2 linked regions of the Canis lupus familiaris genome follow. The protein of the gene in region 1 binds, or shares a complex with, the protein of each later gene. Links are inferred from orthologs where the notes say so. Each region holds a gene or a part of one and is shown in the gene's direction. Other genes may lie near its edges.

What was found. The genes of interacting proteins can lie anywhere in the genome.
Region 2: the proteins of TNKS (region 1) and USP25 are in contact, whole or in part, in a crystal structure (PDB 5GP7), measured with the Homo sapiens proteins. The link is inferred for Canis lupus familiaris from reciprocal best matches to the Homo sapiens genes TNKS and USP25. Residues at the interface, in NP_003738.2 of Homo sapiens: Arg836, Ser838, His842, Leu843, Gly846, Tyr847, Leu871, Asn876, Ser879, Tyr880, His882, Asp900, Trp902, Phe904, Glu909, Gln912, Lys913, Gln934, Glu935; in NP_037528.3 of Homo sapiens: Ser1046, Ser1048, Arg1049, Thr1050, Pro1051, Ala1052, Asp1053, Gly1054, Arg1055.

Annotation. Positions count from the first base shown.
Region 1 is NC_049237.1:35,853,387-35,858,929, reverse strand, and holds the start of TNKS (poly [ADP-ribose] polymerase tankyrase-1), read left to right. Parts: upstream 1-1,834; 5' UTR 1,835-1,868; coding exon 1,869-2,541; intron 2,542-5,543.
Region 2 is NC_049252.1:12,987,538-12,993,176, forward strand, and holds the start of USP25 (ubiquitin carboxyl-terminal hydrolase 25), read left to right. Parts: upstream 1-2,329; 5' UTR 2,330-2,403; coding exon 2,404-2,448; intron 2,449-2,639; exon of another isoform or gene 2,640-2,743; intron 2,744-2,862; exon of another isoform or gene 2,863-2,923; intron 2,924-5,639. UniProt on the Homo sapiens protein: Deubiquitinating enzyme that hydrolyzes ubiquitin moieties conjugated to substrates and thus, functions in various biological processes including inflammation and immune response.

The DNA of each region.
Region 1 (5,543 bases):
ATGGTTGGTTTCTGGCAGTTTGGCCTTTTTATCTTTATCCAGCAGAAATTTTCTTATTTATTTGTATTTATAAACAGACACAGTAGATGCATTTGAATTAGGGTAAACATGACTACTTCTCATGATCTACGAGTAATTGGCCATAAGGGGACCATGTGGGATATTCCTTACGCCTCCGATTCAGGGAGAAGGCCACAGTCAAGGGGGGCACAAGGTGAGTTAGTGGCATCTAATGTCTTATGTTGATAAACCCCACTTTTCAATGCTACCCTCTGTTGCGCATTAGTTTAAGATTCAAAACCAGGAGAATGTGCATTATGACAGATTTTACTTGTTTTGATGGAGTTTTCCTATCTGGCGACGTATTTGTGAACAATAGGCACAAATTTATGAAACAGATGAATACTGTTCAGTTATAATCTATAACCTCAGATAACAAATGTCTCTCAATATTATGTTTCTGACCTTGTTTTATGTAGATAGTAGTCTTATTAAATAAACCTACCTATTTATTTAGCTGAGAATATTAACATCACAGTAAAATTATATTAAAATGAATTTCTAAAAGAACGATTTATCACCCGGTTTAATATTCTGCAGAGACAAATTTCTACTTGACCCACGTAAACCTTGTTCTTTCTTAAGACGGTGTCCATCTATAAGCCCTCTATCGGAATAATGCTGTTTGTCTAAACTTCCACAATGACTAGTTTACTATTAAATAGGAGTCCAGGGATCCCTGGGTGGCTCAGCGGTTTAGCGCCTGCCTTTGACCCAGGACTTGATCCTGGAGTCCTGGGATTGAATCCCTCATCAGGCTCCCTACATGGAGCCTGCTTCTCCCTCTGCTTGTGTGTGTGTGGGTGTGTGTGTTAATGAATAAATAAATAAAATCTAAAAAAAAAAATAGGAGGGAATGGAGATCACAGAGATTATCCCATGCACTGAGAAATCTTTTTTTTTTTTTTTTGATGGCATTAGAGACAGGCAGAGGAAAGAGAGAAAAAGTAGTTGCTGAAGAATGGCAACTGAAGGTAAGTGATGGAGAGTAGTGAGGTTTTTATCTTATTTTGGGAGAGAGAGAGAATTGAGGTAGGAGCATTGGAGAAGTCCAGCTGAAAAGAATTCAAAAGGAACATATTCATAATTATTTGAGTCAAACTTAAGGTGAGAAATAAAAGTACAGAGATAAAAATAGGAAAAATTATAATTTTTTATTTTTATTTATTTATTTATTTTTAATGTTTTTTAAAATTTTTTATTTATTTATCATAGTCACACAGAGAGAGAGAGAGAGGCAGAGACACAGGCAGAGGGAGAAGCAGGCTCCATGCACCGGGAGCCCGACGTGGGATTCGATCCCGGGTCTCCAGGCCAAAGGCAGGCGCCAAACCGCTGCGTCACCCAGGGATCCCGGAAAAATTATAATTTTAATAGTTAACGATTATTGATCTGTTCGCTGTTTTGCAGAGGAGAAGGTGAGACGCAGAGTGTTTCAACAGTTTGCCCAAATTGGCACAGCTAGGAAATCAGAGAGCTTGAATTCCAATCCTGGCAATCTGAACCACGGAAGCCGGGTGAGAGCGAGAAAGGAGGAAAAGCGGCCCATCCAGGGAGTGGTCAGTTCCAACTTTCAAATCGCCGCCGCCGGCCCGCCAAGGCGTCACAAAGCCCGCCCCCCAGCCGCCAAGCCACGCCCCCTTCCGTGGCTGCTCTCCCAGCTCCCAATACTTCCCTCCTTCCCCTAGGCCCCGCCCACTCCGCCAAGCATCATTTCCTGTGCGCTGGCTGCTAATTGGCCTAGCGGTCGGAAGTGAGGGCGGGCGGTGGGGCCGTTGCCGCAGTGACAGTGCTGGGGGAGTCCGAAGATGGCGGCGTCGCGTCGCTCTCAGCATCATCACCACCATCATCAACAACAGCTCCAGCCCGCCCCAGGGGCTTCGGCGCCGCCGCCACCACCTCCCCCCCCACTCAGCCCCGGCCTGGCCCCGGGGACCACCCCAGCCTCCCCAACGGCGGGCGGCCTGGCCCCCTTCGCCTCCCCGCGGCACGGCCTAGCGCTGCCGGAGGGGGATGGCAGTCGGGATCCGCCCGACAGGCCTCGATCCCCGGAGCCGGTTGACAGTACCAGCTGTTGCAGTACCACCAGCACAATCTGTACCGTCGCCGCCGCTCCCGTGGCCCCGGCGGTGTCCGCTTCATCTGCCGTGGGGGTCGCTCCCAACCCAGCCGGCGGTGGCAGTAACAATTCACCGTCGTCCTCTTCTTCCCCGACTTCTTCCTCATCTTCCTCTCCATCCTCCCCCGGATCGAGCTTGGCGGAGAGCCCCGAGGCGGCAGGAGTTAGCACCACAGCAACACTGGGGCCTGGGGCAGCGGGGCCTGGGCCAGGGGTCCCAGCAGTGAGCGGGGCCCTACGGGAACTGTTGGAGGCCTGTCGCAATGGGGACGTGTCCCGGGTCAAGAGGCTGGTGGACGCGGCAAACGTGAATGCTAAGGACATGGCCGGCCGGAAGTCTTCTCCCCTGCACTTCGCTGCAGGTCAGAGACTTTTGTTTCTTCAGGGGTTCGGTCTTGGGAATGGGGGTCCGGGTAGGGACGGAAAGCCAGCGGCGATGGAAGGGGACGGGGGCGTGGCTGTGGCTCTTCCAACGCCTGGCGGGAGGGCTCGGGGTTCCTTTCTTTAGGTTAGTGCCTGGAGGACGGGGGCGTGGTAGGGGGAAGGTGTGAATCCGTTCTTTTTGGAGCGTTCGCCTACCGCGTGGTACTTGCACTCGTCTCCAAACCCCCTTAGCGGTAGTCTCCGGGTATGGGTGTGCTTGAACTTTCCTCAGTTCCCAGTGTGAAGGAATAAAGTTAGATTTGGGCAGTCTTAAGAGTTTTGCCATTTGTTTCCTTAGTTTATTTCGTTTATTTTTATTTTTATTTATTATTTATTTATTTTTTTTTTACAACATATACAAGGGTATGTGTCCCATGAGAACAGTCTAGACCAAAAGAAGTTTGATGTACCTCAACAAGTGTTGAAGGATCTATCCTACTTTTCCGAAGCCCATGGAAGACATGAATGAAATCTGTGACACTTTTTCTCTTCCTCAAGGAGTTTACAGTCTAATTGGGTAGATTTAAAATGTGCCTGTATGAAACAACCGGAGAGGAATATTTGGATGCGTTATGTGATGGTGGAAGAAATAAAGGCTTTGAAGCCCTGGACACTCCTATTTGTTAGTTGCCTGACAGTTTACCTTATCTTGATTGCCTCAGTTTTCTTTTTTTTTTTTTTAAGTGTCCTTCTTTTTTTTTTTTTTTTTAAGATTTTATTTATTTATTCATGAGAGACACAGAGAGAGGCAGAGACACAGACAGAGGGAGAAGCAGGCTCCATGCTGGGACTCCAGGATCAGCCCTGGGCCAAAGGCAGGCGCTAAACCACTGAGCCACCCAGGGATCCCCTTGCCTCAGTTTTTTCAGTGACAAAATGATATCTAGGTTTGTGTGAGGATTTAGTGAGAAGCACCTGGCACATTGGTTCTCCCCCCCCCAAAAAAAACGCTAGTTCCTAAATCGTGGACCACACACTTTTTGTCTTTTTTTTTTTTTTTTAAGTCAAGTAGTTGACCCTTGTCTTTTAAAGCCATATAAAATGTTTTTATAAAATACAAAGAAGTATTCAAAAAAGGACTGTAATCTCACTGCCCAGATATCTACTATTATATTCCAAAAGATGAAGGTAATGTTACATACATTATAAACATTACATTAAAAATGTATGTATATATACATGATACAGTTCACATAGGATAGAAAGACAAAATGAAAAAGCACCAGGCCCACACACAAACATCAAAGATAACACGCTGAAGATACCTTCTGTTACGTTTCTTGCTGTTGCTCATACCTACCACTCTTTTAATTTGTTCTATTTATGGTAAAATATATAGTAAGAACTTATTAAGGTATTGTTTGTTTTTCCCCCCAACTTGAAAGATAATATTACCCTCATTTTACAGGTGACAAAAATGAAGCACAAACTGTTTAAGTAAGTCCTAATTGACACAGAAAGTCTTGGAATCTGGATTTGAACTCAGTTTGATTTTAGAGCTCGTGAAATCAAGCTTAAACTGTTAAAACCTCTCCCTGGGCTACAGTCACTTTTCATTTTGAGAAGTTGTGATGGAGAGTTTCTGTTTTTGCGGTGTTTTGGGGGAAGAAGTAATTGGGAGCTGAAACTCCTGAGTAGCATTCACACTTTTTTTTTTTTTTTTTTTTTTATTGCAGCCCACACTTAGGTATTTATTTTACATCGTCTCACACACGCAGAAGTAGAATCAAAAGTTTCAAGAAATAATACTTTCCCTTATTACATGTGCTGTCTTCTTATATTTTATATCTTATTCCATTCATTTTGTTTTACAACTGCTGTCTGTGGTTCATTAATGGGTCACAAACATGAGAAATACAGGGAATCAATATTAGGTTCCTGGATCCATTCTTGACATATAGATACATATTAGATAATATAGGTCCTATTAGGGATTTAGTGAATTGAATCATAAACAGACTTCCATATAACTAGATATTTGCTCCGGGGTGTTGCCTATCTTAGATGAAGTAGCATTTCTTTTTCTTTAGGTCTTGTGAAAGGTCTAAGTCTGATATACTGGATCAACTGAGGTTGTTTTCTTTTGCATACTTTGTTCCAAATTGGACTGTTTTAGCACATATCAAAATCTTGTCATTCTTCGCCATGCCATGTTATAAATAATCATTAACAGATGATAGTTTTATTTATTTCTATGATAATGTACTTATTTAGGGTAGTCACACATAAAATAGTGCATGTCTCCCCAATCAACTTATTCCCGTTTGCCACAATAGTTTCTCTTATTGTTTTAGAGTTTTACATGTGCTCAGAGAAGTTACCAGACAGACAGTAAAACACAGTCCTGTAAAGGTGTTGTAATTATGAGAACCTGACTTTGAACTGGTTTTTTAAGAAACAAAATTTTTAGTTTGTACTGATTTTTTAGTTTTTACTTTATACCGCGTAGCGTTATATGTGGTATAAAAACATAACACTCTGTAGTCAGTTTCTTATACTTTGATATTTGTGTGCAGAGTATAACAAATTGGTTAAGTCTGACCTTTTGCCATGTGTAGGGTGAGTAGTTAACAGGATGATTCTTGGTTAGGATTCGAGTAATGGGATTGTCATGGAAAAGCCATTTTAAAAGAGGAAACTGGAACAATCCCTGGGATGGAAAAGTTTAGAAATTGTAATTCATTTGCTCTACAAATGTTTTGTTACTTGTTATAGATCACGTGTTAAATACTGACACAATTTTGACATGGCAGATAGTCTTTGCCCTTACGGAGCTTACAATCTAATAGGGGAGACTAAACAAGAACAGCAGTAATAACAAAACCCTATAAAGTACGTAACCTGGAGTTACTGTAATGTACTGTTGTGGAGAAGGTGATAGGGATTCTTGTCCTGGTTTTAGGGCATTTAACAAAATCTTTCTAGATAAACAGGGACTTAA
Region 2 (5,639 bases), on another chromosome or scaffold:
GAGGTTATATACTTCCAACAATCATATTTAAATTAAGGCTTATTCATGAACAGAAAAAACTGAACATTGGGACAAATTGCTAAAATGAATTAGGATATCTGGCAGTGTGTCATGTGTGCAAATTTATCTCAAATTTTCACATTTCCATCCTCTGTTCATTCTAGTATGCTTTCTAGAAAAGAATACCTAAAAGGACACTTGAAACTTTCTCCTCATACAAAACAGTTAAGGTTTTAAAAATTTCAGTAGGAAACCACTAGAGGTAAGCTGGAAATAAATGATCAAAGTGGGCAAATATGACTATCCTATAAAAACATTTATTTAATAATTATCTAGTAACCACTGGTAAAATAACATTTTCTGTGGAACTAACAATTTAACTCAGAAAAACAAAACTAAAGTTTAGTATGTGGCAGTATCTTTTTAAAATCCTAGTACTACATTTTTTATGTTAAATTTAACTTTCTTATATTCAAATGTCATGAACTGGATAGAGTTCTTTTTTATTTTTTTTAATCCATAATAGAAACATGAATATGATGTTGGACAGAACTTCGGTCTGTAAATGAGGTAAAATGGGCTCTAGTTTGCTTTCTTTGGCAAGTAGCCTCCTTTGAGTCTCAGTGTTCTCACAACAGAATTGTGCATTCTAGGAGAGCTATTGCATTATTCCTAAAATTCTGTGTTTCCAACCACTTCACAACTTTTCAAATTCCTCCGGTGAAAACATAGGATATCAATAGAATTAAGTTCGTAATATGTCAAAATCAAATACATATGAAGACTCCAGGGAAGGATCTCAAATGCTGATTGAAAATATCTGAGGTGTGAAGCAAGGACGGCTGCGAAGTGCACAGATTTGTTACAAAGCCTTAAGGATCACTATGATCCATGATTATTATATAAAACCGGATAATATCTCAGTGATCATTCACTAAGCTTGCTTTTCTTGCCATCAGATTAAAAATTATACCCGGATTTGCATAGGTGTGTAATGCATTTACGACAAGATGGACTGATTATTCTGTCCCTCTCATTGCCACACCCTCACCTCCTATCCCCAGATGAGCTCGCGAAGCTCAAGGTTTTTTTGAGAGCAGAGATCGCCTTCTCGATGTCAAGTTTTTCTTTCAATTCCATATACGGTCAAGTTTTCCACGCAGGAAGGTTCATCGCTAATTGTTTGACAACTGGTATATCGGATTATGCACCCCCCGGGCAGTGATACTTTTGTCTGTTGTATAGACCGTATTTCATTTTTATCAAATCTTCAGGAAATAACCCTTCTTTCTCCAGAGCCTCGCAACGACTGGTAGGTACCTGTTTGCGTGAATGAAGCAGACGGAGAATATCAATATTCATTTGTGTAACGATCAGTTACGGAGGAAAGTACATTCCAGCCTCAGGACTTCTGACAGCCCTTTGCTGAAGTCACACTTGACTTCTTCCCTCCGGGCAAGTTTACTGCTCGTGAAATTCCTAGAAAGGCGAGGGGGGAGGACCGGGGACCCAGAAAGGAGCCGGGGTTCGGGACGTTACCGGGCTCAAGGGGCTTTAAAGGTTCTGTCTCGGAGGAGTTCGGAAAGCCGGCGATCCGGGCGGTCCGGGCCCCGAGAGAGCGCGCCCCGCGGCCCGGGCTCCGAGCCTCGCGCAGCCAAGGGCACGACCGCGCAACCTGCCGCAGGGGCGGCTCCGAGGCCGAGCCCGAGCCCGAGCCCGAGCCCGAGCCCGCGGGGCGCGCCCTCGCCCCCCCCCACCGGGAACGCGCAGGGCGGGGCGGGGCTGGGCCGGGCCGGGGGCGGGGCCGGGCCGGGGGCGGGGCGGGGCCGGGGGCGGGGCCGGGGCCGCCCCGCGGGTCACAATCTAGGGTTAGGGCGGCCGGCGGGCGGGGCTCGGCGGGGGCGGAGCCGCCGGGCGGGGGCGGTGCCGGCGGGTGGGGGAGGGGAGGGGAGGTGGAGCCGGGCAGCGAGGAGAAGAGCGCCATTCCGGCCCGCCGCTCCCTCCGTCCGCTGCCCCTTCCCCGCGGTGGCCCGCGAGGCGCCGGCCAGGGAGCGCGCGCGTGACGCGGCCCGGCTTGCTCGCCCCCCACCCCCGCGCCCCCCGCCCCGCCGCCCCCGCGCGCCCCCGCCCATGGCCCCGGCCGCGGCGCAGCAGCCGCGCTGAGGCGGGCCGCGCGGAGTCGTGGGGCTGCCGCCGTGGCCCTCGCCGTCCGCGCCTCGCCGCCAGCCCGCGGTGCCCGCGCACGCCGGCCGCCATCGCCTTCGCGCCTGGCTGGCGGGGGCGCTGTCCTCCCCGGCGGTCCGCGCCGCTCCCCGGAGCTCGGCGGAGCGCGGCTGCCAGGGCCGGCGGAGGCGCGAGGACCCGCCCGCCGCCGCCCGAGTCGCCGCCGGCGCCGCGGGGGCCATGACCGTGGAGCAGAACGTGCTGCAGCAGAGCGCGGCGCAGAAGGTGAGGCGAGCCCGGAGCCCGGAGCCCGGAGCCCGGAGCACGGAGCACGGAGCACGGAGCCCGGAGCCGGCGCGGCCGGGCCCCGCTCCTCCCCGCTCCTCCCCGCTCCCGGCCTCCCCCTGCGCCGCCCCGGGCTTGCCCGCCCGCGCCTTCGGGGCGTCGCGCCCAGCGTGGGGAGTGGGGGGACCTACCTGGTGGGTCTCGGCCCGCTTCCGTCTTGCCGATCGCTCTCCTGCAGCCGACAGTGCCCGCTGCGTACTGGGAGCGACCCTCACGTTGCTACACTCCTTACGGGGCTTCGGAATTAAACTTTATTCACCTCCTTCCTTTTTTGAAAAAAAAAAAAAAAAAAAAAAAGGCAGCCGGTTGTCATCCTTCCTGAACACTATCTTATGTCGAAGGTGGGAGCCTTCCAGGCCTGCTATTTTGCAGACGGGATCGCTACCAGAATGGAGTTGCCTGCTTGGCGGGGCAGGTACGGTTACCAGGTGGACTCTTGTGTTAGAAAGTAGACGATTTGGTTTGTTCTTCTTTTCCCTTTTTTCTCTTTCTTTCTTTCTTTTCTTTTTTTTTTTTTTCTTTCTCTCTGAACATACACCCTGCCCCTTCGAAAGGAGACCTTTCTGGCCATGTTTATTCCAGGGATCTTTTGTCTGCTAAGTTTGACCTTATTCCATCCTTCACCCTTGACTCTTGCCTCAGTCACACATTCAAATGGCCACGTAAGTAAAAAAATAAAATAAAATAAAAAAATCTGTGTGCAGCTTCAGATCTTTGACATTCATTTTATTGGAGATTTGGTTTCCAGAATCTCAAGTGCATTATCATGGCTTGCACCCTATCTTGAAGTGTTGGCTATGACTTTTTTTTTTTGGCATTCTGTGAAAAGCATTTTGGGCAAAAGGAAAACATTGCTTTAGTCGTGTTGAAATTTGGGGAGTCACTAGGGGTTTACTGGGAGCAGCAACCAAAGCTGTGTTTGGCTTATCTGAGCGAGTAATGAATGCCCCACCCTGTGGTAGTTTTGGCGTAGTTTGTATCCTACCTGTGCTTGATTTCAGAACGAGGCCTGCTGTCCTAGAGGGGACGGTCTGTCTACTCACTGCTAAGTTTTTGCTTTGAGATTATTTTTAGAATTCTAGATAGTACTTGAGGTAATTGAAGATGCTCAAGAATTTTGGAAAGCAAGGATAGTGCATTGTTATTTTAGGCACTTTGGGAAAGTTGTCTTTGGAACTCTTGTGTAAGTTAACTGCTCCTGGCAAATTCAGAAGGTTGTTGCAGACTGCGATTTATTTGCAGTGAAAGGATTCTAGGTTTACTAATGGGAGTTTAGAATAGTTTATTATCTACTCCTTGTATTCTATTTTGAATATCTTAAACTTTAGTTTTTGATGTTAAGTATGTGATAAAGTGTTAATACTTAGAGCAGGATCTTGTGTTCATATGTATGCTAAGCAGGATTTAATAGGTTTGGTATCGTTTTTTGTTTATAGCTCTCTTCACAGTGTTGAATATTAAAGCCTGATTATTGTTTGAAAGTGGGAAATGTGGCTCCTACTTTTCACGTCTTTTAAGCCTGAGCAATGGTAAGAAGTTTGTGAGGGTTTTTTTTTTTTTTTTTTAAAGTTGACTTTTTCTAGCGTCGAATCAGATAATGCAGATCTGCCTGGTTCAGAGGTTTATGCATAAAATCGTAGGTTCTCGAATCAAATTACTAAAGATGATCTTGGCCATCAAATCCAGTTTCCCAGCTTCATGAGTCCCCTCCTTACACAAAGGGAATAGTTGTTGATCCAAAATATTACTATTATGATGCTATTGTTAGTGTATGTGTCAGATCTTTTGGGATACTGGGGAATTTTTATTGGAGCAATTTTTATTATGCATTTATTTTTATACTTCCATAATGGTATTTATGGGGTTTTTGAAAAGAAACAATGTGTTTATTTACTTTTTTGCAGTGATATACTATTTGTTACTCAGAACTGTTTAAAAATGTTTATTTAGGTATAAGTACTTTAAACCATCCATTACAGATAAATTCATAGGCTTAAATTCACCAGATTAGTAACTAGGAAGCGGACTACAAGCTAGTAACTAGGAAGTGAACTTCATACTTTAGAAGAAACAAAAGTGAAACTCTTTGTTTTCACTTAGAAACTTTATGAATTATTATACAAACAAGAAGTGTTAGTGCATTTGCATAATCAAAATTTAGCCTATTTTCTGCTCTCCTTAAAATTATGCATGTGAATGCACATATGTATTAGTTTTATGTATGTAGTTTTATTCTGGAGGTTGGAAGTTTATTATATTTTCAAGATTTTTTTTCCAGAAGGATGATTAGTAAGAATGATTTTTGACTTATTTATTTATTTATTTATTTATTTATTTATTTATTTAAGCAGCACAACACAAAGCTTTCTTTCATAGGTCTTTTGTTCACCTGCAAAGTAGCTTGCCATGGTATAAGCCAAGGGGCTGGCTTGGCTGTCTTTTCCTCTGATGTGTTCTTTGCTTGGTTGTTGAAGTTTGGTCATGGCGGGGAGTTATGAGATGTAATAAAACTGCAGAAAGCTGCTTTTCTGAGGTTTAGGTGATACAGGTTAGGTGGAGTTGGTGGCAGATTAGCTACCATTAAATCCTGTCCATAATCTTAGTCTTGAACATGTATCTTCTTCTTTTTCTTTAAGATTTTATTTATTTATTTATGCATGAGAGACACAGAGAGGCAGAGGGAGAAGCAGGCTCCCTGAGGGGAGCCGGATGTGGGACTTCATCCCAGGCCCCTGGGATCACAACCTGAGCCAAAGGTAGATACTCCACCACTGAGCCACCCAGGTGGTTTCATGAACATGTAGGTTCAACATTTGTACTTTATATTTACCTAAGTGTAGCATCCTTAGATCTCAAAAATTTGGTACCTATGTATAGCCTCAGGTCCCAAATGAGGATTCCTTAGGGCACCAATAGAAGGCTTCCTCCTAGGGATCAAACTGATGTACAGAGTGAAGTGAGCTGGGTACTATTTACATTAAACGTATCTTTCTGAGTTGGGTAAAATATAAGGTTTATAAGGCTAGGTATTTTGCCTATTTTGTTTCATTATAGAGCTTAGAATAATGGTGTCTTGCACATAATAGGTTTCAGTAAATATTTGATGAGTGAAATAATGAGTGAATGTTTTC